Linked DNA regions of Styela clava. The protein of the gene in region 2 purifies or fractionates together with the protein of the main gene of each other region. This does not show direct contact. Links are inferred from orthologs where the notes say so. Each region holds a gene or a part of one and is shown on either strand. Other genes may lie near its edges.

What was found.
Region 1: the proteins of integrin beta-1-B-like (region 2) and CD63 antigen-like purify together in Homo sapiens (affinity purification with western blotting; 3 studies listed by BioGRID and IntAct, with this or other methods). This does not show direct contact. The link is inferred for Styela clava from reciprocal best matches to the Homo sapiens genes ITGB1 and CD63.

What each region holds. Positions count from the first base shown.
Region 1 is NC_135262.1:14,370,185-14,387,907, reverse strand, and holds CD63 antigen-like, read left to right. Parts: upstream 1-9,077; 5' UTR 9,078-9,160; coding exon 9,161-9,925; 3' UTR 9,926-12,023; downstream 12,024-17,723. Other genes in the region: uncharacterized protein LOC120332935, read left to right, coding at 557-675, 3,480-3,538, 3,697-3,818, 4,282-4,784; P-selectin-like, read left to right, coding at 16,447-16,510. UniProt on the Homo sapiens protein: Functions as a cell surface receptor for TIMP1 and plays a role in the activation of cellular signaling cascades. Plays a role in the activation of ITGB1 and integrin signaling, leading to the activation of AKT, FAK/PTK2 and MAP kinases.
Region 2 is NC_135261.1:8,762,140-8,779,576, reverse strand, and holds the start of integrin beta-1-B-like, read right to left. Parts: upstream 7,634-17,437; 5' UTR 7,543-7,633; coding exon 7,485-7,542; intron 7,135-7,484; coding exon 7,052-7,134; intron 6,133-7,051; coding exon 6,015-6,132; intron 5,368-6,014; coding exon 5,278-5,367; intron 4,603-5,277; coding exon 4,374-4,602; intron 2,886-4,373; coding exon 2,705-2,885; intron 624-2,704; coding exon 462-623; intron 1-461. Other genes in the region: molybdate-anion transporter-like, read right to left, coding at 13,118-13,175, 13,694-13,875, 14,312-14,510, 14,992-15,155, 15,743-15,952, 16,411-16,609, 17,194-17,437.

The DNA.
Region 1 (17,723 bases), on a different chromosome or scaffold from region 2:
TTGAGCGAATGATCGGACTTGGTGGAAATTTTAAATTAGATATACTGAAGTTTGAGCAGTCTTGTAACATTTATGGTTGGAGAATATTTATTTTTCGCTGCCTAAATAATAAATGGATACTTTGCAAGGTCTTTTGAGGAATTTTGAACACTTACAACTAAAATTAGGTAGACCTTACATGTGAACTGTATGATTCGAATAAATTCTAAATAAATGATGAAAAATTACTCTAGCTACAATTAAATAATCAGATTAACAAATTAAAAATAAAAATTTCAATGGCGATTTTAGTAAAAATGCGCCCACAGCGCCGAGTTTATTTATTGGCAGTGGTGGAATTTTTTGTATGCATGTGTGCAGTTATCTGCATATTCAGTACTCATTCGTTTTTATGTATTTCCTTATTACCGATCAGTCGATCACGAGCTATTTTGAAGATTTTAGTCGATCGCGGTCGAAAGCAGGTTGGCCACCCCTACTATAAGGTAATAAACCCTAATTGCATTCGTTTCTTAGCTTTCGATATCCATAATATAATTATTTCATCTTTTGTAAGAGAAAAGTCGATCGTACCATGATAATTCAAGAAAAACCTCCAGTTTCCCCATTGTTCGTATGTCGTCACTGAGAGAACTGAAATTGAGCCTGGAATCTCCAATCAGTATCATTGACTTGGTATGTTTACTTTTATTTGAGTATTTGAAGCACGCAAAAATTTAATCATAAATAAAACTTACACGAATTAATCCAACTTTTACTATCGAGCTAGTTAGTAATTAATGAAATTCTCAATGAAATCGGGCGGATCTGGTTATAGTTTTTGTATCTGCTACGGTTTCCTTTTGTCTCAAATTTTGTTTGAGTTCCCAATGGTTTATAGGAAGACTGGCATCTTCTCTTTGACAATGTAAGACAAATGAACTTTACCCTCTTTCCAACACTGTCCATAAAACCTTCTTTTCCTATTCCCCTTGATGTCACCGGTGAAAAACAAAAATAAACGTGCAAAAAATAATATACATTCGATTTACTGTAAGTCATTTTGCCACCGTGACTCGAGAGTAATCCACTAGTGAATAGTAAAATGTATGTACAAAACCCAGTGGGCCTATTTTTAGTATATGATTTCGTAAAATCGTCTGTGCTTTTGCTTTGCCGCTCCAAATTAGCGCCGGACAATGTGGTTGGTCACATTGTATACTAGTTCTGTACCGCTGGTATACATTGTCTCAATTTTACTTTGCAGTATGTGCTTGCAATTGTCAACCGTGATTTCGTTACATATTTAATTATGTTCGAGTTTAATTTTGAATGATATATAATAAAGCAGGGGTGTCAAACTCGTGGGTTATCGAGGGCCGCATTGCATTTTGGGAATTGCGCAAAGGGCCGCAAACAGTTTTTGATATATTTTGGTAATATAGCATATATATTTTTAGATAGGTGTAATTTGTGACATATATTGTGATGCAGTTAAACAGTCGAATGCAGTTTTGTTATTTTCTGAAATTACCAAATTCCATTTACATATTAATTTTATCATTTCACTATTATTGCAATTTACTGTATTTATTACAAAAAATCATGTGCTTTAGAATTTTGAGAAATGCAGGAATATTGCAACTTCCATTTTTTTAAATGCCACCTTTGGGATGGACTTTGCGTTTCATTTTAATACCTGTTTTTATTTTCAAGTATTCTTTTGCTAGCTTGAGGTGTAGGCCTATCTATATTTGGGTCAAATTGAAAACAAAAAAAAATTAATTTTCCAAAATTACTTTCAGTAACTTGTTGTTTTTTGTGTGAATAATCAATTTTACTTCGAAAGGTTTAAAAAATGTATTACATTTGGATAAAAAAAAACTTACAAAATATTACAATTATTGTTAAAACCCTTTATATGCGTTGGTCCCAATCGACTTTTTATACCTCTTTTATAATATGACATAAATAGTTAATCAAACACGCTAGTACATTTCCCAATATATCTTTAAAAAGCTTATTTAATCAAACACGCTAGTACATTTCCCAATATATCTTTAAAAAGCTTATTTTCCAAATTACGTAGCGCAAATGCGTCCGACCTTATGCCGGTAAGAAGAGAGAAATTTCAAAAAATTTCGAGAAAAAGTTTCTTACTTTTAACGCTGTGGTCAACACGTGATTGATATGCGAGAGAAAGAGTTTTCTTTTGGACGAGTTTTACCTCACCTTCAAAATAAAACAAGAGTGGGATTTTGAAGTGAAGTGATATTCGTTTTATCGAAGAGCATTTGATTTTCTGATTTGGAAAATTTCTGATCCGTACATACCAGAAAAAACAAAAAAAAAAAAAAATTGATCGCGTGCTGTCTGGTATCTTTGTTTGTTTATTATGAGCCGGAGAACGTTGCTCGCGCGTTTAAAATACTTCGTTTTCAACTAGCAACAGATTCTTTGTTTATTTTTAAGCTTTGAAATATTCATACAAATAAAATTGACCTTGTAGCAAAATAAAAATTATACATAAAAAAAATATGATGACGTCACCGTAATTAAGAACAGCCGGATCAAGCATGGATAATTTAAACTCAAACATTTTAAGTTTTGAAATTGGTTTTGTTCACACGCAGACCACTATGAAATACTATTGTTCCCCCAAAATACATTTAATTTAGCCATAATCCCAAATTATGACACAGGGAACCCCTTTATGACCAGGCCGATCCTATAGAGTGCGTTCGAGGGCCGCATCGGAAGTTCTCTGGGGCCGCAAGTTTGACACCCCTGTAATAAAAGATATAAAATTCCAACGGTTATTAATGTACATTGATCACTTCTCATACCTTGGACTCCATCGCCGAATCGACCATCCCCTCCATCGAATTGGTTTATCCTTATTTTAATGTAGACTGGTTACGAAAATATTGTTACAATTTTTCATTTGAAAACCCTAATATCTTGGGAAACGCAGGTCTAGTAAGATTAGCCGTTGATTTTCCATAAACATTGAAATGCACCGTTTTAATTAATTTTTAGGTCATACTGTTCGCATTTTTATGTGCTATGTAAATATTGCTCTTGTCCGTATATGTACGGGAGACGAGAGGTACTATCTATTGTACCACAAATACGAATAAACGTGTACACAAACAAAAGTTGGGCATGTATGATCCTAATTGTTCTAACATCCCATACTGGATTCATATGCATAAAACATATTTAGACTACGGCTCAGATTTTGACTTCAGCGTTCTCAATGTTCCCCATATCTTGAAGCAAACGGTTCTACATAAAAAAAATATATATATATATTTGAAGTAGCCTCAGGGTATTATCATCTTTCAGTAAATAATGACTATATAATAATTAAATATGAATTTCATAATCAAATAAAATCAAACTTCCTAGACAAGCATATTCAATCTACTATATAACTATTGCTCGTTAGGGGTATGATTGTTTAAAGACAAAATATTTAAATATTTCATTATCTCTAGGCGGTACCTGACACATCAAATCAAAGGTCATATTCTCCTACGCCATCCAAACTGAAGAAGTAAGGACATCTTGAATCCGTTTGCATATCATGTCAGAAAATCCTGCTTTAAATTATGTCAAAACGATGAATTTATTGCCTAACGACATTCTATGCAAACTTATATATATTTCTTTTTAAACTTCACTGTCTTTTTCCTTATATCTCGTGCATTTTAGGAACAGAAGACCAGCTCTTCATGACACCATCAAGCTTCTCATTCTGCTAACGTTTTCCTTGTTTCTCTCCATCACTCCTCTCATATGCGTCGTGTTTTTTGATGTCGTTTTTGCAGATATTGGTGAGTACAACGAAGGTTTTCGATGTGTTGCTCACTCACTTCTCAACTTTTAAATTTAAAAATTTTGTGAATGTGAAATTGATTGGAAAGGTTACATTTAGTTTCACAAATATAAACGGGCATAGCAAAAGTGCCATTTCATTCTTCTAATTTTTGTACGGTTACATCATTTGCCATTGAAACTGATCGCTCATTAAAACCAGTTTGAGTTTGATGCTACTTTTGTAAGGGTGTTCAAAAGCATATAAGTCGCCAAAAATTGTTGCCTTGATCAGAAATCAACGTAGGCACGATATATTAATGCTAAAACAGTCCACATATTGAAATACAATCGTGAATCCAAATTATTGTTATTGAAGACTTAGACATTGGTCGTGAAAGCACCCTTGAAAGTCTACTTATTAGTGATATTATAGATGGTAATGTTCACGAGATAGGTTTATGACTGCTTTATATTTTACAGTCCTTCGACCTGACGCAGTTTTGGTTACCTCTTCAATGACGTGTATGCATGCCACAAGTCTCCCATTTATTTTGTTGAGATATATGAGCGGCTTGCGAACTGCGTGTCATAATATTTTATTAAAATGTCCATGCCTTCATACAACGATAATCATGAAAAGACCTAGTACCTCAACAGCAATCAATAAATCGCCAACAAACGTAATACGATCCGCGACACCGTCTAGAAAATCTAGAGCGACGATCGTTGCATGTGAAGTGCCGACTGTTCCCGAAATAGAGTCAAAAGACGACGAAACTAGTGAAGAGACTGTCACTGAAGCTGTAAATTGTACATTAGATCCACAAAAAATTCTTTCTGAGAATTCTCCTCCAGAATCAGATAACAGAAAACCAACATTTGAAAAATACGAAACTGTTGTGGATCTTTCTAAATACGATTTATATGATAATTTTGCAAACAAAACAATTGAAGATATAGTGGGAAACATCAGTAAGCAGTAAAGTAATGAAAATCAATGAAAAGTATATATGTAGCTCGTTTAGATTGTAGTTTTCTAACTGGTGTCCATTCAAATAGTTTTATCATATTGCTAGATCATGTGTATATTTGACATATGAAGGAAAATCATGAACCTTTTTTATTGTTTCCATCGAAATGCTAATGAATTCTTTTCATTTTTTTTGCGGGGTGGGGGAGTCCTGTCATGTAGCTGTGTGATTGCTCTTCTTGGGGTGAACTCAAAATTTGTTTTACAAAATACCATATGAAATAAACATGTTATATATTATATTCAATAATAAGGTCCTGGGGTAGGCTACATTACCATTGGTGACATTAATTCAGATTCTCATTCCAACAATACGGCTATATTTTAGGGATGGAAATGACCGATTGTTATAAATTGTATTATATATGTATTTGCTATTTTAACAATAAAACGTTGAAAGCTGTGGCTGTATTTTGATATATATCAATTATCAAAGTTGTAGATTGTCCAAAAGTCAGATTAGAAGATCAAGGATAAACAGAATGAAATTTCAAATTTGTGTCTTCTGGCATGAAATTTTCACGTAAGTTGGCTATTTATTGGTGGCTTCTAGATTCTCTCTGCACAAGGCTCCATACGAGCAGTCTTTGAAAGGACCATAGTAATTCACTAAATAATTTTGTTAACTATGGTGTTGCATCTGGAGTAAAGTAAACCACTGATTGAAGAGAGTTTCATCCTGGGATTCTATAATCCTCAACGCGACTATACCTCCCAATATCTTGTGTAGTTCCCCAGGGATCAATTCTGGGTCATTTACTTTTTATAATCTACCTCAATGATTTTATAAACTGTTATATATTATTGTGATATATATATATATATCATGTAACACTGCTGGGTGACGCTATTTACCGTACTGTTTTGATTTCTCCGAGGCTGACATTCTTCTCTAAACGTATTTGGCTTGCTACTTAGTCTGCAACTGCTATGATATCTCACTTTTGAAGTGCTTGACTCTTACAAATGTTGTAATCGAAACTTGGTGCTTGATTATAAAAAACTAAAGACAAAATAACGACACCTGTATTGCATAAAGTTACCACAGTGCTAATATTCCCCGAATTGTCTTCAACGATGAGACAGGTAAAGCGAAAACAAAATAAACTGACTATAAATTATATTAAATTGATTTATATGCTCCCTAACAAAAATATAAGTCGACCTTTCCATATATGTTCGGTGGTAAAATGCTAACTGGAATGCCATGCATGAAATATCTTGGTATATATAATTATTAAAAATAAGTTTAAATGATATTTTCATATAGCATAACTAACAGTTGGGGTTACGTGAAACTAACTACCGTTCCTTGCTCTATGCCTTTGCGCAGGTGGATTCGTATGCGTAGAACGCAAGGATGCTGTAGCAAGAGCATGTTATCAAGGGTGACGGGAATTATGTTCAAACTTAGGCACTGCTTGACATTGCGTGCTTTGAAAATAATTTATCGTTCATTATTTCATTCTCGGCATCTTAAGTTGGGTAGTTGTTGTGAGTTTGCCAAAAAATGAAGAATTTTGGGACCTCCAGAAATATGCGCACCAAGATGGCGCACAACCTGAACATAGTATGTGTGTACCGGTTAGGATTCAGGTTGTGCGACATCTTGGTGCGCATACTTCTGGAGCACCGAATTTTGTATAAATCAATTTAATTTGACCTTTTCTCGCCTTAAAAAAGTTTTCAGCTTTAGTATAGCTATACCGTGCGCGTTTGTCTGCGAGCTCATATATAGCAAGTTATTCGCGCCCTATAATGTGTAAACGATAAAGAACCGTAATCGAGCATCGCCCCAAGACTATGAAGTAGCCGATCCCATCGAATCCACGGAGTGAAGTGATGAAGCGATGAATGAATAGATGCAGCTTCTTTTTTGACTTTATCGTGGCGTTATGAACGGTCTGTGCATTTTGCTGGTTTCCGCCATTTTCCAGTATGTTTTCAATTGATCCCAGTGTCAAGAGACAAAAACAATCATATCAACACCTATACTTTTACACAGTATATTCAAGTTGAAAATCTTCAATTACCATAACTTTATTTTGCAGTTAGAGTATATTTGTATTCAGATAGAATCAATTATTGCCGATTGGCCATAACCATGCCCTGTTTATTGAGGTTGCACATTCTCAAAAGTTGCAAGTGGCATCAAATGTATCCGAAGATTTTGAATTGGTTAAGAAATCATTTTACAGCGATACATGGTACTAATTCTAATAATTATCTGATAAATCGATGTTAAATTTCTGTTCATAAAGTACTTAGATCAGTTATCTTTTTCATCACAACGATTCTTTCTTATTTTGAGATAACTGATTTTGATCTATTCTGTTATCCCAATAGTTTCTATAGTGTTTGATGAATAAATGTATTAAATAATTTTATATGCGTTAACGATATATATATATATATATACATGAATGGCTTTGTTCTGACACATTTTGTTGTTATTACAACATTATATAATAAGCAAAGATTTCTGAAGTCAAGGGCACTTGACTAAACCGGAGTTTCTCTATTAACAGCACGATCCGATCAACCACGATCTAGAGCAAAAATCGCATATTCAAGAGCTTGTTTCCTCTTGTTCATGAATGATACAATGTTGCAAATATCATTACCTTTTATTCATGATCATGGGACCCTTGTATTATTGATCGACGATGTTATGTTTTTATAATATTGGTGATAACATTCGGGTATGGCAGAGAACAAGTCATTTGTAGAAGTTTTATTCTTCTCACATTTAGGTAGATGCAGTGTGGAGTGATCGACTAGAAAGTTGGAAATAGTTGGGAATTCATTAATACTAAAGTTTTATATACTTGAAGAAGATGATATTTATATCATTATTTTCTAAGCAAAATCGCGTGTTTTAGATTATATCCGGATGCGCCTAGCCTATCTCACGTTAACTTGTAAAACCATAAATGAGCAAGTTACCGTGTATTTTGATTAAACTGACAGTTTCACTTTGTCAAAATAATTTTTTTTATATTAATTAACAAATGTATGGTTGTACCATGTTAGGGTTTTATACTGAGGAAATGATTCGATACAACTCCGAGTAAAAGCTGCCAATATTCCCATTTGCATGCAATTATAAAAACTCGAAAATTTAAAAACTCAAGCCTAAGCTGCATTTTAGTGTCGTGGTACTTTAGTCGTCGATACTCAAGTTTTCGATCAACAATACAAATCGAGTGAAGAGCAATTAAGTTGTATGTGTATATTCTGAAAATGGCGAGCGAGATCTAGTTTGGATTTGAAGATAGCGGTTATGTCTAATCAATGCCTGAAGCCTATTAAACCAAAGACAACGCGGCTGGCAAAATCTGCATCATTATTATTCCCTTCTCGGAGCATAGCACTTCTATAAATATCTTAATAGTCTTCTTCATTGTATTCAAATGAGAATACACACAAATATTCTCGCATTAGCAATTTTTCATGTGCCTTGAGCCTACGTGTTTTCCCTTGCATTATGACTAGCATGTTTAGTTATTGTGCCAATACCATTGAATACGCTGTATGTAAATTGCTTACGACTCCATTGTGCATTCATAATATCCTCGAAAGCAAAATGATTGTGATAAACAAGTCTAGCGTCTGGCTTATATTCAGGTGGTTAAGTGATATGAGAAAATTGGAGGGAATAAAATGAGATGTGTTGTTGCCGGTCATACATCACGACGGTACACGCATGTAACGTACATTGCCTGCACATATGTTGTTATTTCAAGACATGGGGTCCATAAACAAGCACATATCATTATAAATGCACATTGCAGTCTGGATTGTGGTCTAGCACGTAAGTTCTGTGGCGGATGCTAAATTTTATATTAATCTGAAGTGTGAGGAATGATAAGCCTTCCTACAGTTAGCCATGGATTCGTTATGGATAATCATATTGTTTCTACGTTTTTGACAGCTTGGAAGAAAGCTATTTTCCACTTTACTATATATTTTGTGTCCTTTGTTATTGAATTAACGCTTCGAACATGTCTGGTGCTCGTCTAAATGGTCACAATTCATAGTAAGACTAAGCATGACAATAGATATCATCATTAACATGATTAACAGGGAAATTATATGCTCGAAGAGGAACCCATTCAAGTCACGAAGTAGGCAAATGCCGGTCTATTCAACAGCACAATATGGTCGTTTCTATTGAGCGAGAGCCTTGTAATGAGCGTGATTTCCGCTTCTTATTTCTGCCTGCAGTGTATCTAACCTATTCAACCTTCTATTTTATTTTTTGGTTACAGCAGGGTACTTGTATTTATCAAGTTTTTTGGTAGAAAGGAAAAAGACGTAGAATACAAGATGGATTGTGGAATGAAACTCATCAAGTATCTGCTTTTTGCATTCAATTTGGTGTTTTTCATCATTGCGTTAGTGCTGATCGGTGTCGGGGCTGCCGTCGAAATTAAATATCGAGATTTGGTGCAAATTACTGGCTCTACTATTTCATCCGCACCAATTTTGCTGATATGTGTTGGCGTGTTCATCATGATAATTGCATTCTTCGGATGCTGTGGGGCGTACAAGGAAAACTACTGCATGGTGACAACATTTATGGTCTCACTTCTGGTTATCTTCATCCTCGAAATGTCAGCTGGAATCGCGGCATTTGCTTTGAGAAACCGAATTGAAATTTGGATAAAGAAATCAGTGCAAGACGCCATAAGCAAATACACGCCTAAGATGAAGCCAGTTTTTGGAGTCGTGCAGGAAAAATTCAAATGTTGTGGCGCAGTTTCGTCTGTGGATTGGGAAACGAGTACCGGTTTTCAAGCAGAAGCAAAAGCCCGAATGACCCAAGCAGGAATTTCTAGTAACAATGGAACAAAAATTGTGCCAGACAGCTGCTGTATTACTCCGAAGAAAGATTGTGGATTGAAATCAGGGCACCTTATTTACACTGGAGCCAAAAATGGATGCGTTGAGAAGATTGAAGCCTTCATAAAGCGAAATGCTGGCGTGATAGGTGGCGTTGGTATCGGTATTGCATTTATACAGATCGTCGGCATTATATTCGCATGCTGTCTCATGCGTACGATAAAGAAAGAGTACGAACACGTTGCTTAGGACTAGAATATTCAATCGAACAAGTTTTACTTTTATGTTGTGTAATTAAATTAACCCATTGATTTCGAACCACAGCTTCACAGCTAAATTTCAGGACAGTTAAGTTTTATCATGACACAAACTATAAGTTTATATTTCTTCTTAATTACAACCTACTGGGTGTTTAGAAGTTCATTTTTCAGACAAGTGTGTGTTTATAGTAAAACCTGGCAAAAAGGCCGCCATGTATTTAACATGATATTAAGCTACAAGCTTCAGAGACACATATGCCAATCTTGATACTACTTTTTACGTGTGGTTTGGTGAAATCTACTTCAAAGATTGTGATATTTTCTACTACGTATTTTTCCATTACAATATTTTCTTGAAATATTCTAGGCAGCCGGTATCCATACACAATTTCTCACGTGAATAATATTATATATGTATGATAAAGTGCGTTACTGACTACCTGATTTTAGGTGAATGAATTTCAGAATGGCTTCAAAAATAATCTCACAAAATATACATAAAATACTTACTTTACAAATTTTGAAGTCTGTACCACGTACAAAAATCTGACAAATAATAGTTGATATATATCACTGGAACCAGGATACTTTTATCGCTAATTCATGATAAATAATGTTGCATCCAAGGCATGCGATCATATAACTTTCCTGTGTGAATGATAAACACTAGTCTTTTGAATAGATGATTATCATATATTATTCAATTAAACGGGCTTAAAGCATGTAACACAATTGTATTCTTTCATTATATCCATATTGCTCAATTTTTCTTTATCTAGCATATCGAATTATCTGCGACAATATACTGTATCATGCATGATAGAGCATTTCAACAATTGGCGGATGTTGTAATTTAAATTAAAATCTGGTTGAAACGATGCCCGGGCCACTCAAGATCGAACTAAAATAATTTTGAAATTGCAAATAATTACGAAAATTTAATCTGATTTATCGGGTATAAGAAAATACACACCTCAATAAAATGTGAAGTTGGATGGATGCTATTTCACTTGTTATGCAGAAATACAAAATCAAATTCTGGTTATATTTTGTGCGTTTAAGAGAAGCTAAACGTTACTGTATTTGAATGATACGTGAATGAAAGATATTTTTTTTTGTAACTGTAGTTGTATTTACTCCTTTAGGTTTTCGATATTATATTTAAAAAATTTTATCGGAAAACGGAAATTACACCGAATCCTTTAATTTCGCAAGTTCTAAGTAATTCCGCCTACTGCCCTTTATGTGAACTCAAAATTATAGATATTTTCCTGTTTAATTACTGACAAATTAAATAAGTGTAAAGAATTGCGAGATTGCAAGTTTTATTGCACCAATTGAGTAATAATTCATTCTTATGTAGAACGGAAGTTTTCGTAATATTATTTGAGCGGTGTTCCATATACATTCATCTCAAGTCTAGGCAAAAGTAATATCGACTTTCAAGAAATAGATGCATTTGGTCTAGTCTGCTCTCACAATCACACGTATATGTTTAGCAGAGTATCAATTTGCAAACTTATTTTTTGTTACTATGTTTACATTGTATTATTCAGACATAGATAATAACATATTATGGTTATACATTTATTTGAAACAGAACATAACTGCAGATATTATATGCACTATATCGTTTCTTAGTTATTTGTAGATCAATATTCAAAAATGGGGGGGGGGGGGGGGGGGGTATCCCATTTGAAAAATAGCTGACTTTTCCATTAATCTGTTTGTCCAGCAGAAATTGTATATTGATTGAAAATGTAATTGAATTGAATTCATTTGTGATCGCAATAGAAAACCCATCCAAATAAAAGCTAATAATGTGCATATTTTAGACTGCCATACCAATAGATTTTTATTTTCTGACCATTGGCTTAAATAAACGGTAGATCAAAATCTGACATGGATAGTTTGACGTTTGAACCGGCTGATGATAATGGCTCACGAGAGGCTGTGAATACTGTATTTGCAAAATATATCAATTTACAATAACATAATGATATTCTGCTAAACTGATGTTTATAACTGCATTTGTTAATTCATTATGTTGGACATTTAATTTGTAATAAAGTGGCTATATGTGTAAACTATTGAATTTATTTAAGTGGCATGCTTGGCGAGAGTAAAAAGTTTGCATATTGAAGTATAAGTTACTGCTCCAAGCTGAGTGTGTGAAGTATTGTTGCCACACTTGAATCGATTCTCTCGCGACAGTTTTGCCGACGAGGTTTTTGTCGGTTTTACATGATTTTTGCAATTTTTGCATGGTTTTAAAAGATACAAAAAATATGATATCTTCAAATCTGGCATTCTATGACATTGACGAAATGTAGAATCGAAAATGTAAAAGTTTATCTGACAGACATTACATATGACTCATCTCGTAAAAATGTTTCATTTTCGTTATTCGCAAAAGAGTTTTTTTTTCCCGATTCGTATATTAATAATTAGTTTTTGCCTGAATGCAAAATATTATATCTATAAGTTTTGCTTTAAGGAATTTCCTTCCTTTTTAAATCTCACATTGTTGACTTCAATTGTTCAATCAGAATCGGCTGATATCACTGGCGCGGGTAATAACCTGAATATACATATTAGTCGCCTGCTTGTCTAATATCAATAAGTAGTTGTGGGCAAATATTTTCTTGTTTGAAAAACAAGAACTCAAGTAAAAATGCTTCAATGGTACTGGTACGGTAATAATTTCCAACAATTTCACGATCATTTTTGTTGGTCGATAATTTTCAGTGGGTGTGATGTACAGGGTGTTCATGAAGACCTAAATTTTTAAAATCTAAATGGCTCTATCGATACCATGATTTTAGAGTTTGTTTGCTCCTACGGGTGTATTAAATGAGGTAAAAAAACTGAAAAACTCTGTTTAAAATGAAACAAAATTGATTAAGATATATTGAGAACTGACTTCATAACAAAATTGAAATTGTTTAGTTGAGTTTTATTTACCAATAATAATTCATAGGCTTCGAGAATACTGAATACTTTTCTGTAACTTGATTTTCCGTCTGACATTTGACTAATTATTTAAGATATTCCATGAATAGAATTTTCTGAATCCAATTTTCTCACTTGAACGCATTTCTCTATAGTAGGGGTGTGCAACGTTTTTGTCCGTGGGTCATATAATCAACTTCAGACACCGGAAAGATAACGACCGATATATTTAGGAAAAAGACACATACAAATAGCTATCTGAATTTTAATTCTAACCACCCGATCGCGTCCACTACCATCCCATATGTTAAAGTACTTAGTGAAAAAAGTCGAAGAATTTTAGAAGACGTAAGGAGCAAAGTTAGTTTCAAACCCCAAAACACAATAGGCCAATTGCTTTCTAATGTCCAAGAGCGCCCATGCCCTAACAAGAAAAACGGCGTGGTATATGTAACCCCATGCAGTGATTGCTTCTCTATTTACATTGGAGAAACGAAACGAAGTCTCGAAACTCGGAGAAAGAAACATCAGCGAGCTGTAAAACAAAACAAATTCGAAAAATCGGCTCTCTCGAGACATGCCCTTTCTACAGATCACAGCATTGATAGAGAAAACAGCAGGACATTAGAAAATGAAATCACTACAGGAAAAGACTATGTCTGGAAATCATATCACATTAACAAAGAGAAAAATTCAATGAACGATAAAGAAACTGCATTGTTTCCTCATATTTGTTCGAACTTGCGCCAATTCACTCTATTATCATATTGTCCCCTGTTTCAATTTTTTCACGCCGTGTTCATTTTTAAATTTTGTTTTTGTGCTCTCTATATATATACGATAGTGTACTCTTCATATCATGCCCTGATGAAGTTTTCTGAATAGAAATTCGAAACGTCGGCAAATTATATCGTTTTGCTATACACCGGTTGTGCTTGACTTATCTTATACCTGGTGCTGGCAATCATGTGCCATGTGTTTCATATATTGTTAAAAACTTGAAATACAATACCGAGGTGGTATTTCTTTTTAATTGCCACTGCATAGATAAATTTAGTACTTTAATACTCACATATACGTTCCGAAGAATTTGTAAACCACAATGACGAGGTTATTATAATAATCTATATTATTTTGATCCTTTGATTGGTAACTTCCTAAAATGCGCTTTCATCGACAAGGTATGATTAAAAATATTGTAGGGATAAAAAGGGGAAATAAGGTATGATCAACTAAATCTGACCGTAAGCAATTTCAATGGTGGTAAATAAAATTGAAAAAATTATTGTTCTTCACGAAGCAATGGTTCAGGACAACTCCTAATACTTGCGAAAATAAAATTGATTTATTTTATAAAAGTCCGACTACACTAGACATTCTAATACGTCGTGAGTGAGGTGGTTGGCATGAGATTTGAAAACGAGAACTTTTGAACTTACATAACATTACAACAAGAGAGCGATGCTCAAATATATGGACGAAGTCCGAAACTATAAGTAAATGGGGGTCTTGTAAACGTAACAATTTGTCGTAGATTAGATCGTATATGAGAGGATTAACCGTAAATATCCCTCTTGATATTTTGATATAACACACTGTGTTTCAAATTTCGTGAAAATTGGGCATTTTCAAAATGTTAGCCTTTTTTACAAAATATAATTTTATAAAAGGATATATAATCAACTCAGTTTGATATGCTGAATTTTTTTGAAAAAATATTCCATTGTTCTCATCAGGCTTTGATACAAATTATCTTATTTTTATAGACGGAATACGTAATGAATTAAAAATTATTGGAGACACCCACGCAATGGTTCTGTGCTTGCATACCTGTGATAATATCAACAGATAAACATGATCATTATCCCCTTTTTTGTCAAATCGTACCAGTTACCAATTAGAGCGACTAGCAACGCAAAATTTACTCGGTAAAATGTCGGAAATCTCATACAGATGCAAAAAACACGCAGCATAGGAGTTATTTATTGTAACAGCTGTACTGAATTTATTTTGATAAAATACATTCATAAAAAGTTGTTCAATAACACATTAAAGTAATTAATCGTGCTAATCGGTATTTAGTAATCATTTCAAAGTATTGTTTATCATCACTTAATCTGCTTGTTATGCGTGAGTTAAATAATAATTCAAGGAACCAAGAGAACAACAAAAGTAACAGCAGCGCAAAGTACGACATTTGTTTCATAACGCCACTTATAATTTGAGTCAATTTTTGGATATCTGAAACCATAGATTTGTCGCTAATAAACACGCCAACTTCTTGTTGTTGTGAAAAACTTATTTCCTCTTTAACTACGGGACCAAATGCTTTGAAATGTTCTATGGTTCAAGATTATTGTTTCAGCTAGAACGTCATTCCTTTTATTTATATCAGAAATTTCAGTTGGATTATACCACAAGGCATCAGAAATAGGAGTGGAAAGTTATTCATTTTCAAGCAAATAAAAATTCAAATATCATGTTTATATGACTTATCAAATTTTAGGTTTCAAGATATTCTTTATAAGAAATTACTTGAAATTACTTAAAACAAATGAATGAAGGATTAGTCTGACTCTCTTAAATAACGAGAGTAATTTGAAATACAAATTATATGCTATTGTTTCTCACACGTTTTTGAGATTTTCTGCTCTTAAATGAGCTTCAGTTTAAATAGGTAAATCAGTTTACAACGACTACATAAGCTTTGAGAAAAAAATTTTCCGCTTATCAAAATTCTTGCTTATCGTGCGAGATTTCGCACTAACAAAGTACAGTTTTATTGCTTAAAATTGATTTCCGGAAAAGATTAAACGCATTTCAAATCTGTTTACATTACTCAAATTCTCCGTATCAATGCAAGAGTCGTTACTAACTATAAGTTTCATAAAAAGAATTGGACAATTAATATGTGATATTGCCTAAAGGCCAAAGGCACAAAACTAATGAGAAACTGCAATTTTATTAAAAATATATGCAGTATTTGAGGCTGTTAAAAATTAATTTTATTCACAATTATGCAACGGTGTTTTCTATATTTAACAAAAGTTTACTTCAAAGCAAAAATATTTATTTGAGCGTCAATTGTTGAGTTTTACTCTTACGGCACGCTTGACCTTGCCAAACAAAATGCACGGTACTTCAGTTTATCATCTTACATTAAACATTAATCTTGCATACTATTTGAATAAGGCTCTCGACGAGCATGATCACGTGACGCAAAAAAGTCTTATATCAATCTTTTACAAATATTTCGTTAATTTCAAAATAACAAGCAATAAAGAATTAACACCACATAATAGATCAGACGTGGAGCGTGTCAATGAACACTCAATTTTAAGATCCTCATCAGAAATGGCCTAAATACAATATTTTTTTTAGATGGGTTTTCCTCTTACTAACCGTAAAATTAACCGAGTTCAATTTATTCATTACCTGCCCTAGGGTTATCTATAAAAAAAAAAATAATTAGAAGATATATAAACAGTTGTTGGTTATATCTTGATGTACAATTGTTGGATCATTTTTTCTGCTGATTGCGAGCATCGCAATACCACCATGCTGAAGTTCTGGGCATTATCGATGGTTGCGGCAATATCTGTTCTTGTCAAACTTTCAGAAGGTAAGGGTTAATAATATTACATAAATATATTAGAAAAATATTTTATTTTGGGAACGTCGCATTGAATGCATTTCACGCAGTGCAAATATTATCCACACAATATAGAGATGTAACTTTGTGGATTTAACATAAATATTCGAACTAAAACTGATCAATCAATGTAAAATTAACGTAGGATCAAAATGATACATTCATTTGGTTTATTTTATTAGACACGTAGTTGATCGTTTGACCTATTGATCGTTTTCTAATTTGTTGTTATTCTTGTTGGTATTTTTCTTGTTGTTGTTATGAAAAAATTCATTTTTTCATTACCTAATGGACCACTTGCTTTGAAAGTTTCAGTTATTAAAGATTGTATTTTTCGCTAGAAGGCTATTATTTTTATTTGCTTTTAAATTTTTTGTTAGATCTGATATTTCCTCTAAAATGCGCTGTAAAATTTTCAATTACGGGAACACGTTTTTACGAAATCGTGAATGCTGTCTTTCACGTGTTTATGAAAACGTGACGGCTGCCATCGGTAGTCTAATCTACTGTGACAGATTGCATACCCCCATTTACTTATAGTTTCGGACTTCGTCCATATATTTGAGCATCGCTCTCTTGTTGTAACGATAGAGAACCTAATACTGATGAATGTAAGTTTCGGATATCTTGTTTTTGAAGCGTATTTCGAACCAGAATGATCCGATTCGTATATTTACAAGTCTTATTTTTTTAGTGTAACACCATTAGTTTATTTACGTTTGGAGAACGGCGGGTAATTTGTCATCAAATAATAATAGGATACTAAACCAGTGTTTCCCAACCCCCGAGTCCGCGGTCTCAAATGAGTCCGCAGAGCATTTGAATGAGTCCGTAACGAGCCAGAAATTCACTGAGGGCCACGAACGTTTTTGCGAAACTTAACTATCAGCAGTTACGATTTACGTTAGAATTTACATAAAAAGCAAGTTTATTCACATAACAATAATCGAGTTAAAATTTACTGGATAATGAGTATGGCTGGGCATATATTCGAATATTCAACTATTAGAATAACAATTAACTATTCGAAAATTTGGTAGCAGGTGACGCGACAGTTCACTTGTGCATCGCTTAATCAAATGATGGGACTCACTTGCGGATTTTCGACGAAAACACGAGTCTGCACACGTAACGAACGATAGATGGTGTTTTTCAAACGAAGGGACTCACTTGCGGATTTTCG
Region 2 (17,437 bases):
TCGGATTTGTTTTTAATAGGTTGAGAGTTCAGAGTCAGATGGGTGCTCCCGAAGTATGCGAACCAAGGTTAACAGGTTAGGCGATAATTTTTTTCCAATTTTCCTTATTTTAGTCCTATTATCAGTTCGAAGACTAGCCAAGAGCCTCCCGTAGTATTTATACCTAAAATTATGGCCTAACCCTAACATAATACACATATTACATTCCGATGTCCGCCATCTTGGTTCGCATACTTCGGGAGCCCCGTCAGAGGTAAATTAACTCCAACGTCTTTTGACCATAACATTTAACACAGAGGTTACTACGATCTGGAGAGGTAACCAAAACAGTCACACAAATTATGCATTAATCTCTAACAATATTTCCAAGAATTCCGCTATACCACAAAACAATATCATATAAAACTGGTTTAATATAATTTTAAAGATTTTCCAAATTCCCCAAATAATCTATAACTTACCATTTCGTTAGCTTTGTAATATTGGCCTCTGCCATCGAGATAACAATGCCCATCATTTGGAGCGACAATGCCACCAAGTTTTCCATCCCCAGCATAATGGAATCCAGCATCAGTGACGTAAACGAGCAGATGGGTTGCCTCTTTCCTCCATTTGATAAAATCCTGTAATATAAATATTTGATACAAAAAACCTGATAATTGGATCAAATAAATTTGAATAGTAGTTCAGTTCTAATCAGTCCGAAACGAATCTAATATTCAAATTCGAAATTCATTATATTCGGTATGGTAAATTTTAGAATTCGGGAATGATTTAAATTATAAGAATTCAGAATATCTTTGTTTGTATATTAGGGATTTTAAGTAGGTCAGATTAAAACGCATGATATCTTAACTGCTAGAGTTCAATCAACACAGAGAAAACAACGACTTTTAATTTGTTGTTTGAGATATGATCAACACACTTCTTGAATATATTTTCAATGGTATAATACAGCGTTTCCCAACCTTTTTTGGTCGCGGACTAATTTCTCACCGGCGAAAACCTTCGCGGACTCAAGGTGCGTTTATTGCAACCGTACTCTGTATCTCACGAAGGCGAGGTTGAATCTGCTCCAAATTGCATGTGCATTCATCATATCTCGGACCAAAAGCCTATTGATTTTGGATGAATTATGTCGTATAATTAGCGAGTTATTAATTAATTAGTGATGGGACACGCGGTGTCACTATAGAGTCATGAATCGAAACCGCAGTTTCGATCGATATTCTCGTATTTAGTTTTGATACATATTCTTAGAGATCTTGCAAATTTGTTATCGTCGTTAGAAAAATCCTACTATCTGCTATAATTTCCAGAAAGTACAACTTGATTTAGTACTTATTAAAAATATATTTGAAGTATATTTGTAAATCAAAAATACAACCTTGCTTTATTATTAATTTAATGGTGATCATTTTAATCTGCGGTTGTGTGGACGAAATAAAAGCAATACTGATCAAAAAAAAATATCATGACAATCCGTGGACACAAAAAAGCGTGGTAATGTGCCCAATTATATTTTGTTTTGATTCGTATTTTTGTGAATTCAACAAATCTGAGCTGTTCGTACAATACTTACGGCGCTCCAGTACTGTACGTACCAATGTGGAGGTCTAAGGGAAAATGCCCTGGTACATATACTACAGTATCCACCGAAATTTTGCGATTTGCAATGTCTAAAGAAGTGTTTTTAATCGGTCGCGTACAATCATAAAACAAAAGTTATGGTGTTCTCCGTTTTATTTTCAGTTTTTTGTATTGCCGCTTTTTAATTTAGAAAATTTGGGTTGCCACCCTTGACGCCTACTAAAAAAATTATTTCTCGTTGTTCGAACTCGCGAGAAACACCACGCGTGTGCTCGGGTTTTTGTCGGAAATTCGCAAGTGAGTTGTGAAATCCAATCGTTTTGACCTGTCGCGTCACCTGTTACCAAATTTTTGAATAGTGAATTGCTATTTCTAATAGTTGAATATTCGAATATATGCCCAGTCATACTCAGTAACTAGTACTAAATGACTTGATTAATGTTATGTGAATAAACTTGCTTTTTATGTTTTATGTGAATTTTAACGTAAATCGTAACTTGGCTGATAGTTAACTTTTGCAAAAACGCTTGCGGCTCGCAGTGAATTTCTGGTTGCGGACTCATTCAAATGTTTCGCGGACTCATTTGAGACCGCGGACTCGGGTTGGGAAACACTGGTATAATACCATGTAAATTTCCAATGTTTAACACGACACCAAGCCAAATTAGAAAACTGTATGATATCTGCCAACAGGAAATCAACCACAGTCAATTACAAAATAACATATGACTTCATGGCGATCTATAAATCAATTATAAACCACAAGAGTAACAACTCAGATGATGTATCAATTCCCAAAAGGGCATTTTTGAATTCTTTTCAAGTTTATTCACTATAATTTCCATCAATATATCTAGTAAAATGCAAGACACTCTGGGTAAGGCAGTGGGCACAGAATTTGATTCATTTTGCACGTCTGTGAATAAAAGCATTTCAAATAATATTATTAAAGAGCAAATTATGAATAGTCCCTTGATATATAAAACAGAGACACTTGAAAATTTAATTCACACAAATTCGAGATTGAAACACATTCGTATAAATGTATCACACAATTATCAAAACTAAATTCTCCTTACACCCTGAATTCCAATACAATATTAAATCATCTCACCTCACAAACAATAGCTTGCATCATAGCATCAAAGCCTCCTTCTGGAGAATCCAGATTAGAGGAATGATTGACAGATTTGACAGATCTCACGAATTCATCAATATCCTTAGTGAGTGGTAATTCATTGCTGAACGTGTATGTAGGTTGGCAAGGTTTATTATCAGTACATGGATTAAGACGTCTGTGAAGAAAAATATTTCATCAATTTTTTATCTAATACAAGCCGGTAGGCGCCCAGGATGTCCACTGATACATGAGGCGGCCCGCAGTTCACTGAACTATTATCATCCCCGCAATATTGCACCTAAAATGACAGCGTACTGCAGTGACCAGAATATCAAAACTGCGAGCGCTGCGCATCTCTTTGGTATCCTTGTGTGAGTGGTATACTGCGGCTTATATTTGATCATGTTCACTAACTTTCGTAAAACTCCTTGAGTTTATGGATTACCAAGATGGAAATCGGCTTGTGTATTTACTTCAGCATGAAGATAACAATTTCAGAATTTTAGTTTGAGGTAATTTACAAAATAATGGGAACAAATTGTGAAATAACTATAAATTTCTCAGCGATCGCGTTTTGTTGCTGATGCCATGGAAACGAAACACCAATTCGGACTTTAGGTGAAACACACATTACTAGGGTGACAGTATACCCCACATGAAAAATTTCACTAGATCGGCCAAGCAGTTCAGCCGCTACAGCTAAACAAACAGACAGACAGAACGACTGAGAATAAAAGGTCTCCTGGAGCGGAGATCCAATAATTAGTTAGTGCTAAAGAACGATTACTATAATTCTTTTTGTGAAATGTTTTTCACTCCTAACAGAGCTCTGGACTACAATTAAGTAATAAACAGTAACAAAACTTTTTGTCTGTGGAATTTTGACTTTGGTCAGACAAAATGTTACAGGATAATATTAATGAAAGTATTTGCGGCACTAGAGAGAATTAATACAGTTCTTTAATCAACAACAGTATAATAAATTGACTGTTTATTCTTCGACTCCTTTTTTACAGAAAGTAACTCTAGACAACTCTAACCACATATTACAAAAAGGAAACCGTTACACCAGCAGTAATAATAATATGCCTTAGCACTTAGCCAAGCCCAGGTGCTATAGATTTCTTTCTGGTATGAATAAAACAATAAATTTCAGCCTTGTTTTGATTTTTGAAGAATGGGAACATTTTATTCTGTCTTTTAATTATGTATTAAAGTTGCATATCAACCAGAGCTTTGGGGTATGGCTCGTTTCCATTAATTTTGTAAACGGAGCCGGTGCGGCCATTCCATACTTCGCTATATTTAGAGACAGGAGTAGGAAAATCGGACTTTTAAGATGATAAATAAAATTATTCACGCATATATAAAAGTTTTCGTTGTCAAAATTTGATTTTCTTCAATTTGAAAATATCTGATCACACTAAAAATTTATATTACCGGTATATTAAAAATAACTCTGATCGTACTCAAACGAAATGTCATTATGCTAACTTGATTCCAACAGAGACAACTCGTATGGCGTGTTACGATTTGTAGGGCTGTATATTGTACAATATGTAATACCGGATAATCAACATGAAATTCCGACAAATATTTGAGAAAATTAGTCTATTTATGCAAAAAGATACATTCTAAGTGAAGTTTATTAAAAAAAAATAACCTTTTTGGCACCATGGAAATATAAGGCATTACTGTCTTATCGACAAACGATCCAAAACCGAGTCTGAAATCCCTTGTAATAGAAGACATTCTATCTCCCAATTCTTTTCCAAGTTCTCTGAGTGAATCTAAATCATCTTTCATGGAGTTTGATAAATCGAGAAGATAATACAAATCCACTGGATAATCTTCAGCTTGTTTGTAAGATATTTGGATTTGAGCAGGAGATCCTGTTGGAAAAATTGCATTTTTGGTGAAAAATTTCGAACAGTTAAGGGTTTTTCTTCCAGAAGGTACCAGAATATAAAACACAATTTATATACATTTGCTTTCACTAATAGTGCCTGCTAGTCCGTTAATGATATCTAAACTTCAGTTCATGATTCAGTTTGAATGTCCAAAATGTCAGGAGAATTGAAAATCATCTAATGTTTATATATTAGTGGTGCAATGCCTTGTATTACATTTTAATAAAGTTATTCTGTAACATTTCATCTTATCAAAGTCAGACTTTCGAAGACGCGCAGTTTACGGCAAAACAATGTAACAAAATATTGAATGAGACTTGAATGAGAGGTGGAAATATATGAAGGCATACATAAAAATATTTGGCCATAAAAATTCTGTAGTAAACTATTGAGATATGTTTGTATGGGATATATAATCACCATACAAATAACTTTCATAAATACATGAGTATAATAATATATTGTAGCTTTGCAGGCAACATTTGATAAATAATATAGTGGTAACTGTGAATTTTATGGTCATAATGATACAAAAATTCATTATATGCATGCATCAGCTAGACTCTGCAAGGAAAATAACAACTTGTATCGCAGAGCTTTGGAACATATAAACTCGTAAAAATGCTGAAAAAATTGAAGAATTGTCAAAATAACTACCTGGCCTCAATTTGGCATCAATCTTTTGTGGTTTGAGTTGTGTTGCCTTCCCAACATCTGAGCTTCCAACTGATGAATGTGGGTCATCAACTTTAATGTAAAATGAAAATATGTTGAGAAAAATATTTACAAAAACAAGGCAAACAAAGACATCTGCACGTCCTCCCAGAACAAAAAAGCTATCATGACGTAGCAATAATCTTTTTTATTCGAATACTCTTCTTTATACATGCTTCATCGCTTGGCACTCTGACATAACTCGCATTTAGGTGGTGTCTCACATATTAAAATTCTATAACCTTTTCAGCAAGGTTGGCTACATCAAAAAATACATCTCGATACTAAAATATTCTTTTCAACCATCGAAGAATATTGAATCTATTCTAAATTGGGCCATCCTCAACAAAGAACATATAGAGGTCATGTATATTCAATTAGTTTTTTTTGGAAAAGCATGGAATTTAATTAAGATAAAATTTGATAATTTGTGTTGTTGCACCTGTAATTTGATCGATAAGCTTTTTTTGAGAGTTTACAAAAAACAAATGAAGGTCTTTTAGGCCATGATGACCAAATCACTGGGGAGCAGAATAATGAATTTCGAACATACTCGACCAATTTTGTACATCCGCGGCCTTGAAGCTTCGAAAATGATCCACAAACTAAATCGCTTATAAAAAGAATGACAGAATAATCTAAGTGTGGTTTTACTAGATTTAATATAATAAATAACCCACCTGTATTGTTCACAGACGATGGTGGATTCAATATGAATTCATCAGGACATTTTCCAGCCTTTAAATTTTTTGGTAAATCGCATCTCGATATAACAAGATTGGGGTTGTTTGCATATTCCTGGAATATAACAAAAAATAAATAGAAAATCCAAAGAATCGTTATAAGTTTAAATCAGGGGTTCCCAAACCGCGGCCCGGGGGCCAAAACCGGCCCGCTTAACGATCAAAAAAGGCCCGCCGAGCTCAAGTGAAATAGTGTGCAAAAGATTTTGTTTCTGCTATTTTGCGTTCCAGATAGCGCCAAGTGTTACACCATTATCACAGTTGAGGCACCTGATTATCGTAACAATTACATTATAGCGGTAGCTCAATTATTCGTATTGGGATTACATAGGGCAGTAATTTAGTTACGAACCATATAAGAAAGAGATGTCAAGACACAAAGGAAAACTAGACTCCGAAAACAGACATTTTTGGATACATAACAGCCGTGGTGAACCCCAGCTAAACCGTCGCGCACTTCTGGGCGCCACACTCTTCCGGCCCGCGAACATCCCTCCGATTCTAACTTTGGCCCGCGACTAATAAAGTTTGGGAACCCCTGGTTTAAATCTATGCTTTATGTGTAGGATAGGTCACAAACTAATATATCAGACTAGCACTAGCATACCATTACCAAACTGAAAACTGGTAATTAAATGAACAGGTTGGGGTTTTCCATATGATATGATCATATTATGAGCTATGTTCTACCATATTTCATTCTCAACGTTTTATGATATTGTTTACAAACATTTTAGTTCCATCAATACAATACTGAGTCACATTAGATAATCCAGGAAGTAATTTCCATTTCAAGTACTTCTGTAGGCTACTTCCTGAATTGAACTGTTCTTTTTTATTCAATATCTACGAGACAATTTCGATGAAAGATGAAATTGGAAATTAGGTAACATTATCATCAAAGTTATTGTTTGACTCAAAATCTACATACTTATTGAATGGAAGTTTTTTAATTGTTATTATTCAAGACTTACAGGTTGTTCACACCATCCACATCCAGCAACTTGCATGCACTCACTGCATGATTTTGCATTCTTATCTACACATGGGTTGTCACCTTGAAATATAGAAGAACTGTATTATTTTTAAATGAATGTACTGAATGAATGTAATTAAAACTCAGATATGCAAAATAAAAGTCATACTATTTTAAATACTATTTGGATAAAAAATAATGTAAAGTGAGAAATGCAAATATCATTAACAAGCATCTGAGTCAAAAATAAAGTCCAGTTTCCCTAAACAAATATATTTAGATGTCTGTTTATTGATTGTGGTCATTAATACTATAAATATCTTGATTGACAGAATGATAAAATATATAGTAAGCATTCATATGACCTCCACTCACATAACAACTGTATAAACTAGGCGCTAAAACAGTAATATGCTAATTTAAACACTTACCATTTCCATACTCAAATAATAAAACAAGCAGAAGACAAAAAGAAAAGAGAAGACGCATCTTCGCTAGTAATGAATTTTTATGATTTTCTATTTATAAAATAATATAAAAAAACACAGTATGTAGAAATCTGTCAAAATTTGAATATAGAATGAAATTATATGCAAAATCTAAACTCAAAATAAAAAACAGTATGTATAAATATAAAAAATGTTAACGTTAACCATTATGTTCACCACATTACAGAATTCAAACATCAATATGATCAAAACAGACTGCTTGCTTAAATAGTTAAACTAAAATCTGAAGATGTGGGTGCTTTTTTAGACTACCAGACTACTTTGGACACCAAAGTCAAAAATGACTTTCACAAGAGTTCTTAACTTAGTAACTACAGATCTTAGAAACTGATTAATATAATCATTAACATCTAGGCTAAAACAGTTATTTTACAGTCTTTCCCCGAAAATAAGACAGTTTATTATTTCAATTTTCTTTCGAAAAATAACACTAGGGCTTACTTTGGGGGAATGTCTCCTATTTTCATTTAGAGAATTACTAAATTTTCAAATATACAAAATATGAAAAACGATATCCATTTACAAATAAATAACAAGTTTTTATTTAAAATAACTGCTAAACATAGATTATTAATCCTTTAAAACGAGTATGAAAGATTTCTTGCTGGTTAAAAATAATTTTGCTTTATTGACTATTAAAATCATTTTAAAAATTCATGCTAACTAGGTCTTATTTCCAGGGTACCGTAAGTATTATTTTCGGGGAAACACGGTAGCTCCAACCTAAAAATATCAGAAATCTGCATTCCAATGTCTGAATGTATGAGATACCGTTACGACAAACAGACAAGCTGACATTGACTTTGCTTTTCGGCTATTGAAACAAGGGTTCTTTTCAGTTATTGAACCCTTCGCTTCACCATAACTTGTACTTAGTATCAGCCGACTCTGAATCGACAAACGCAAAGGAGAAAATCAACAAAACATATACTGACTGACTGGTGAATTACAAGCAGACATTACTCACTTTTTCCAACCACAGTCGATACCAAATACAGATAAACCTCGCCCAGGGAAAGTATTTTCTCCCAAAACCATAATCCCGAAAATTTTGAGTATCTAACGCCACTTTGCGGTTCGGTACCATCTGTCAGCTATTTTATTTTCGGGGGTATCTGATTTCGATCTCAAATATGTATACAGTATATAGATTTCCTTAGGTTTTGTGCTTGTTTTGTTTTTGGTAGGTGAACGTGTGTGATATTTATGTTTTATTCACTTTTCAGATTTTGCACGACTGCTGTCGCACAATTTAAGTTATTTCTCTTTTGATATTTGTAATGTTTATGCTTATAGTGTGTTGATAAATAAATGATGATTGATTGATTTTTTATAACATTCTACGTTTTATCGCATAAATAATATTACACTTGAAAAAATGAATTTAAATAAGTTCTTTAAATAAGTTCCCAATTGATAACATTTTTATCATAAATAATATTTGAGTATTTTATGGATGTAGTATTTTTTATTCCACTCTTCAATATATATATAACATGTTTCTTAACATTACACAGCGCCTCTAGCAGGTGGTTTACATTGATGGTTATTTTAGATTTAAAAATATGCCAATAGTAAGGAGTACTTCCCAAACATCTTAATTTGTCACCGAGTCCTATACTTTTTTGTTTCTTTATGCTGGGAGTCACACAGCTACACTCAAGGCTAGATTAACCATTAATCGAAATAGGCACGTGCTAAGGGCATCAAAGGAAAGGGGTCTTCGAAATACAATCTTTAATCACTGAAAATTTCAAAGCAATTGGTCCAATAGTTGATGAGAAAAGCGGGTTTTCCATAAAAACAATAAGAAAAATACCAACAAGAACAACAACATAATAACCAAATGGTTCATATATATATTTATGTACATTTCGTGTCCAATAAATATGGTTGCTTATAGTGGAGTGGAACGCAGTAGTAAACGGACACCGGGTTGCGCAAGAGTTCGTTACCGGGATATATTTATATTGTCTTGACAAAAAAATGATGATTGATAAATAAACACTTCAATTTGGGAGGACTGGAACTTTCCATTGTCATTGCCTACGATGAGCGATAGGATTCTAACCCGAGATGTGTAACTTGCGAATTGCGATGCCATCAAAGCTGGTAAGTCTAGCGCAGTGGTTCCCGAACTTTTTGAAAAAAATTCCATGACTGACCCCTTGAATTTTTTTTAATGATATCCGGCCTTGTGCGCTAAAATAAAACATTAAAAGATCACAACAGAAAATCAATGCGCCGTATAGTGAAACGAATAAAATTATATAAAGCACAACTCCAATGACATGTGTGACATCCAGTCCAGCAAAAGGGCGGCGTCAGCTACAGCCATGCAGTCAGTAAGCTTGTGGGGGCATGAACCGAACTCTCGCTGTGATATCAAAATGGGGCAGCGTGATCGAAACAAAAGGTGAGGAATCAGTGTCTCCAGCGGTGATTGCAAAACAGCAAAAGGCGACAAATGTGTATTTGCAAATTTAGACACTTAATTTTTGTATTATCAGCCTATTAGCCATATTATGGATTTGTTTCGCGGACCCTCCGAAAGTGCTTTACGGACCCCAGTTTGGGAACCACTGGTCTAGCGCAATAAAACCACCACCACCTATCGGTTAGAAGATTTAAAATTATTTTGCAATAAAAAAATAAATAAACAAAATTACTTCTGTTAGATGATTTGATTTAATGGTGGACAACCACCGGGAAGGCATTTCCATCCCGCCCTCCTTCTTTATGGATTGCTGGTAATTATTTCATTATATTCACAGTCAACCGTTTTACGTAATTAACATATAGCATGGAACATTCGTGTACCTAAATCTGACAGTATATACCGACTGACTTGTTTTAGCAATATTGAAGTTACGGTGAAATGCAATTTAAATATTTAACGACTGACGCTTTTTAACAGTATTGAAGTTTTGATGAAATGCTACTTGAAACATTTAGGAACTGACGCTTTTTAACATTATTGAAGTTACGGTGAAATGCACTTCTGTAAAACGCAAACAAATAATTATTTACTGAAACCGTTCAACGCCCTGAAAAAAACTACTTTTTCGAAAACGTTTTTGGTGGACCAAATTTGAAATGTTGGTCTTCAAACGAGAAATAGTGATGCGCATCACCGAATCTTAATCAGTTAACCCTTTTTAAGCCTCAAGCCCTGCCCATTTTATGGGTATTTTTAAACTTATTTTTTTATGTCAACCATTAATCCCTAAAGCTTTATTCATGGGTTTTTAAAAGCGTCTGCTAGAGTTCTATTCAGCAATATATCTTTAAAACACACCCCTCGAAAAAAATTTTTGCAAAAAAATTTCAAAAATTTCTAAAAAAAAAATTGGACTTTGAGATATTCTGTGTACAGTAGAGGGTTAATAATTAATTCCTAATTAATTAATTTTTTCTTCAACGTTTTCGTCAAGTTTTTCCTAACATAACAATACCAAAACGACTATTATAGCATAAATGGTTATCACTCTGAAATTCACAATTGTATTTACAGTATTGTCAAGTTCAAGGTCAAATTACCGATACTGATGACGTCACAGCTCTTATTATTACTGCACAGACCACCCCCAATGCAAAAAAATTAAATTTTTTCGACGGAAATGCGCGTAGAACGGCGTAACCAATCTCATACGCGCATTTACGCGTTAAAATTACCATTAATTTTACGTTTTTTTTACATACAAAAAATCTCCATACCTCTGCCAACTATGGAGCATTCGAAATCATATTTATCAAAACAACACAGCGCCAGGGATGGTCAGGGATAGTTAGTATGACTGAAAATACATGCTAAAACAATAATAAGTCGTTATAAAGGAGTATTTCCTGTCTGAAGGGAGTCACATTTTTCAGACGTCTGACAGGTGATTTTGAAATCCAGGATATTTATAGGATTCGCACTTTGCGTCACGGCTGGAAGGTTTTATCGCTTCTCTCATTACGTCGATAAACAGCTAAGAGCGATATACTCTATAAGTACATAAATTTTACAATTTTTTTAAAAGTACACCCATATGGGCGTTCCGGCTGTAGAAGGGTTAACAGAGTCTGCAGCTAAGCTTTGCTTTTTTCACGATTAAAAATGCCTGGTTGACAAATTCATATTTTTTCATTTCTCAACAAAACTGGATACTTCTTCAAGGCGAAAGTCAAACTCAAGTAATGAATTTTGCTGAAAAACAGTCGTGTAAAATTTCGTTTGAACTAAACCCTAACTCATAAGTTCCAGCCAGTCGAGTGTCAGCGTCGTTAATATATTCAACATCCACACTGAATGTTCTTTGAAACGAATTTGCGTCCTCCGACCATCTAAGCCAGGGGTCGGCAACCTACGGCCCGCGGAGTAATATAATCCGGCCCGCGACGTTTCACTGAATTATGTTAACAAAACAGCCGTTTTTGACGATTATATTCTCTGTGTAACAGAATTTATTGTGCGAGACACGTGTAGAATAAATTATATTATAATCTCACAAGTATAAAATTGACAAATACTCGCTTAATGAGCCTATAATATAATTAGACAAATGGCAACTAAACGAATAAAAGTTGATGCTAAATGCAATAAATCTATATTCTATTCTAGAGATGTATCACTGCTTGATTTTTATAATAAGAAGTATCATCCGTTCGGTTTTAAACTTTCACAAATATGTGCGGCCCGCCAATGACTTGCAACCCTTAATTTTGGCCCGCGAGCGACAAAAAGTTGCCGACCCCTGTTTAAGCCCTTGAAAGCGTTTCGAAAAGTATTCACTAAAGTCCCAACGCATTTGTGTGAGTATACACGGGGATTTCGTTTATTTCGACATAAACGCGAGTTATTAAAAATTGGTACTCCTGAAGTATGCGCACCAAGATGTCGCATAACCTGAACCCTAACCTGGTACACAACCGGAGTTCAGGTTGTGCGCCATCTTGGTGCGCATACTTTAGTTTAGGTCCTCCTTAGAATTTATCATAAATAGGATTTTTCTTTGAAACAATTTCATTTGCGTCTTCAGAACTTGAAAGCGTTTTGAATAGTTTTCGTGAAGGTATATTCACGTTTGTGTGAATAAACATGGCGATTTAGCTTCTTTCGATATAAACGTGATTTAGTAGAAATAAATGCAATTTTCACCAAACGGACCGCGTGTCACGCTAAGTCTTATGGCATGCCACCTTGGGCATGCGTGCACCCCTGCTCTCGAGTGGATTCGTATCCCATGACAGACGGGGCGACGCGCGGGCAGTTTGCTTTGAACTCCTAATGCTTGCTCTATTCGTTAATCTGTCTATCCGATTTACTTTCTTACAAAAAAGAAAAGGTTGCAATTCAGCCAATACTCCATGTTGTAATTTGAATAAAAGTAATAAGAATTTATTGCATCAGAATGGACATAGTGTATAACATACGGTATATATAAAATAATCCACATTATAGACTTTTTTCTTCAGTAACAATCGACATAGATTCAATTTTCTGCATTCCCTTGCCTCAACAAGCATTGCCTTCGAATCGTCTGTAGCGCAGGTACGTATTTATATTATATTCATGTTGCTTCCATTACTAAATCTACAGAATCCTTCATATTCTTCGATTTAGACGTCCTAGCAATGCAAATGAAGTTATAAAATGAGCAATGTAAATGCAAGTATAAAGCATGCGGTGGCCAAAAGAAATATTTACATTGAATTAAATTCCAGCTCAGACACTTCAGGTTGATGGAATTTTAGACTCCTGGTCTAAACTTAAAGAAAACAATATTTTAACAACTAGGACCTTTGGTTGTCTATCGTATAGTAAAATTAATTCCTTTTTTAATTCGTCTGGAATCAAATTCTGAATTCTGACTAACAAGGATTTTAAATTCTACTGGGCCTTCAGACTCCCCAACTAGAGAGATCATGAAATAGCTCCCCGATTTCGACACCAATACCGTTAAAAAGCATGCCTTCGTTTCCACAGTCATTGAGTCATCAGGATCCATGCAACGACAGTTACAATATAACTTCCTCCCATAAGTTCCTGCATTCACTAGCCAGAAATACAATGTCCGAAAAGCGAATATACAACCTATAATATATATTGAAATTCAACCATAACCAATAATTATGCAATAACTTACCTTAACAATCGCAAAGAAAATACTGCTGCTATTGCAACCATGAAAAAACAAGCCAAGAATAATTTTCTTGTTCCACTGGCATTGGTGCTATGGTGTAACATAATGAGACCAAAACAAGCAAACAAATTCAAAGGAACCCGGAACCAAGCAGTCACAGCGAAATTTTGTAATTCAGGTTTCACCTAGGCACATAGAAATAAAATAACAATGCCTGATGCTAAAAAATTGATATGATTAAGAGATCATTGCAGAAAGAAGATTAACTGGCTCCGACACTGATCACATCCATGTTTCTGCAACATTACATAACGCCAAATTATTGTACTTAAAAACCTGACCGGTATTCTGATAATAAGCAGTGATTATTCACATGGATGAGTATTTGGAGCCAGTTATGAATGGGTAAACAGTAAATAAAAACATTGTCACGAATAGACCTGTGTGATTAACCAAGCAGTACTGTGTTCTTAGCCAGAAGACGGGTTGATAAAAGAAAATTCTAATGTACCTAAAAGTTAAATGAATATTCAAATATGACTCATGAACTAAGTGATACTCTCTAGTCTCTAAGAGCAAAATACTTGGCTAAGAGATTCGATATTATTAAGCTATACTTACCAATCTTTTCAATTCTGACATTGATGGAAAATATACACCAACTGACAATTCAAATAATAAAAAGCATATGTAGGATATTATTGGGAATTCATTTGTTGGACTAGTTGATAGTACACATCCAAGAGTGGCAATACAAGCAACTGACATTGCACCAGTGAGAGTGACAGCTGAAGACAATTTCACTGCAGTCACCAGAATTCTGTCAAAACAAACATAAAATAAATGAGAAGTAATTATTGCAATCCATGAATAGTGTGTTATTAACTCTAATTTTAATTATGTTCAAAATTGGTGTCTCGATTTAGCAGTTAGGTTGGGCGTTAGTAATATCCCTGCCTTGACACCACTGACTATCCAACTGATGGTTAGGAGGAAGTACAGATTAAATGAAGACTACTAGCAGACAAGGTTACGACAGCATGGTCTATGGTCACCATGCATTCGGAATGTGCAACACCAAAGAGATTTTCAAGTTCCTTCACTTATCTGATTTAGAAATGGTCAATAAAATTTGTCGGCTGACATGCAGAAGAACAATCTTGAAATTAAATATTGTTCAACACCTGGAAACACCACCAACTAACCAAACCAAATAACAAGTAAAGAACTGAAATAATAAATGAAAACTTATTTCAGCAACACTCAAATCTACACTAACATCAAATTAATGTGAGACATACTTGTGAGCTACTCCTCCACAAAGAGTCGCACACATAAATGTTGCAAATACGATTCCAAGTGGTGGATGGTGATGATCGAGTACTGGTGTCCATAAGAATACAAACAAACAGAGAACGCTTTCGAATAAAGACTGAACACAACCAAGCACCAACAGATCTGGATTCTAGAGAAATAGAAAATAAGGACAATTCACAATAATCAAAGGGTTTTGCTGTAAGAGGACAGAATGTATTAAATTTAAAATTTTTATTTAGTTATTTGAGTGGTGCAAATAAAATACTTTTCATATGCAGAAATAGGTAACATCATCCTGCAGCATGTTTTGATATTAATTAGAAATAGTCATGACTAAATGATTTAATTGAGCTTCAAATCAAATTAGATCAAATCAGTGGTGTGTTGGAATCATTTGTTTCCAGAAAGTTATACCAGAATTCACAGCTATCAATACTTTGATAAATGCGGGTGTACACTCCACAGGTACACAATTTGACAATTTACGGAATGGAGTCTTTTAAAACCAGTTATTTTTATGGCTCAGTTGAATGGCACATCGTAAAAAGTGCCAAGAATACACTTGCCATCGCATCTCTAATTAACCTGCATGGGCTTGAATCCTGTGGGAGATAATAATGTGTAAGAGGATAGCTGGACTTCTCACAGTTGTAGAGTGGTTCAAACCATAAAATGTACTTGGTAATTGCAAATAATCATCATGGGCAACTCATGTCATGTTAATCGAGCACTTACTCGCACAATATTCTGTAATCCCTCACAACAAGCTTTTACGAATTTCGTATTCTTTCCTGATGGTTTAACAGGTAATGAAGGCTCTATGAGACCTTCAGTTGATTGTGATGACCGATCCGGCGTCTTCCATTTTGAAAACGTAATAAACGCACTTATACCAAGAAATGGTACAGCAAGTAAAGATGGAGCAACGGGGCCGAAACCATACCACTGAAACACACAAGAAATATTCTCAATCCTATACAATAAATGAAAACAATTACCACAATCATGAAATGAATTAATATACAAGCCAGTAATTTGCTTTATCCAATCATTTCAGAAAAATTTAGACATCTTTAATACATATTTATCAGTGACAGAGTGTAATTTGTATCATTATTTTTCCGAATTAAATTATCTTTTAATTTACTGATAGTAGCTATTCAAACTTCTAGTTTACTACGAATTACCCTATTTTGAGCATATTTCTTAAATATTTATTCTTATCATTATTTCGATCTCGCTCTTTGAACTCTGTCAGATGACTCTTTTCAATATTTGACCATACTCAATAACAAATAATTCAAGCAGTATTGCAAATCACATTCTCATACAATAGAAACTTTTACAAAAGTGTATTTATAACTCAATTCATCAACAAAACAGAAAAAATTACCAAAATGTACCTCGGTCATAAAATATGCAAAAACCCCTGCGATGGCAGCCATAAGAGAACTAGCAAAGGCTGATTTCATAGAAGTGATTTCAATCCATTCCTTTGGGAAGTCGTGAACATTGATATGAGATTTGGCATACCATCCTTCATGTGCAGAAAATAACAGTGTTGTAGACGCACCAGATAATATACGACTTATTACCAGAGTGCTGAAAAAATAAACACACTTATTACGAATTACGGTATCTATTTAACATAATGCTACCTAATTTTATCGTAATAATTCTCTTAAATGAGTTTACCATAGGTATTTTTTTAATGATAACTGAAAAGTCAATAACAGCAATAATAACAAAAGTCAGTGACAATTTTAAAAATTCACTAATCGCTTTATTCTCTGAGCTACAGTGTTTCCCTGAATATAAGACTGGGTCTTATTTCAATTTTCTTTTAAAAAACAACACTAAGGCTTATTTTGGGGAGATGTCTTTTATTTTCATTTATCAAAACAAAATTACGGAGTAAAGAATTACAAGATTTTCGAATATAAACAAATATGAAAACCGATTTCCATTTACTTATAAGAAACACATTTTTATTTCAAAATAACTGCTAAACATAGAATATTAATCATTTAAAACGTGTAGGAGAGATTTCTTGCCATCAACTACGTCTTATTTTAAGAGGAGGGCTTATATTAAAATCAATTTTAATATTCACGGTAGGTCTTATTTTAACTTAAATGCATTATCAATACATAAATATTTCAAGCTAATTTGATTGAGATTCTCACCTGTAATCTGAAGATAACTTCAAGAAACACGAAAGTGAATATGTGACGGCAGCACCGAGACTTATTTTTTTAAAACCGTATCGCTCAACCAAATACGCTGCAGTTGTACCAAAAACAAGGGCTGATCCCAACCCACAGACATAAATAATGGCAATTTGTTCTTCCAAAAATCCATAGTGTGAGTACAGTTTATAGAGGTAAGGTGCATTTAACCAGTCAGCAAATAAAGCCGGAAAGAATGCCA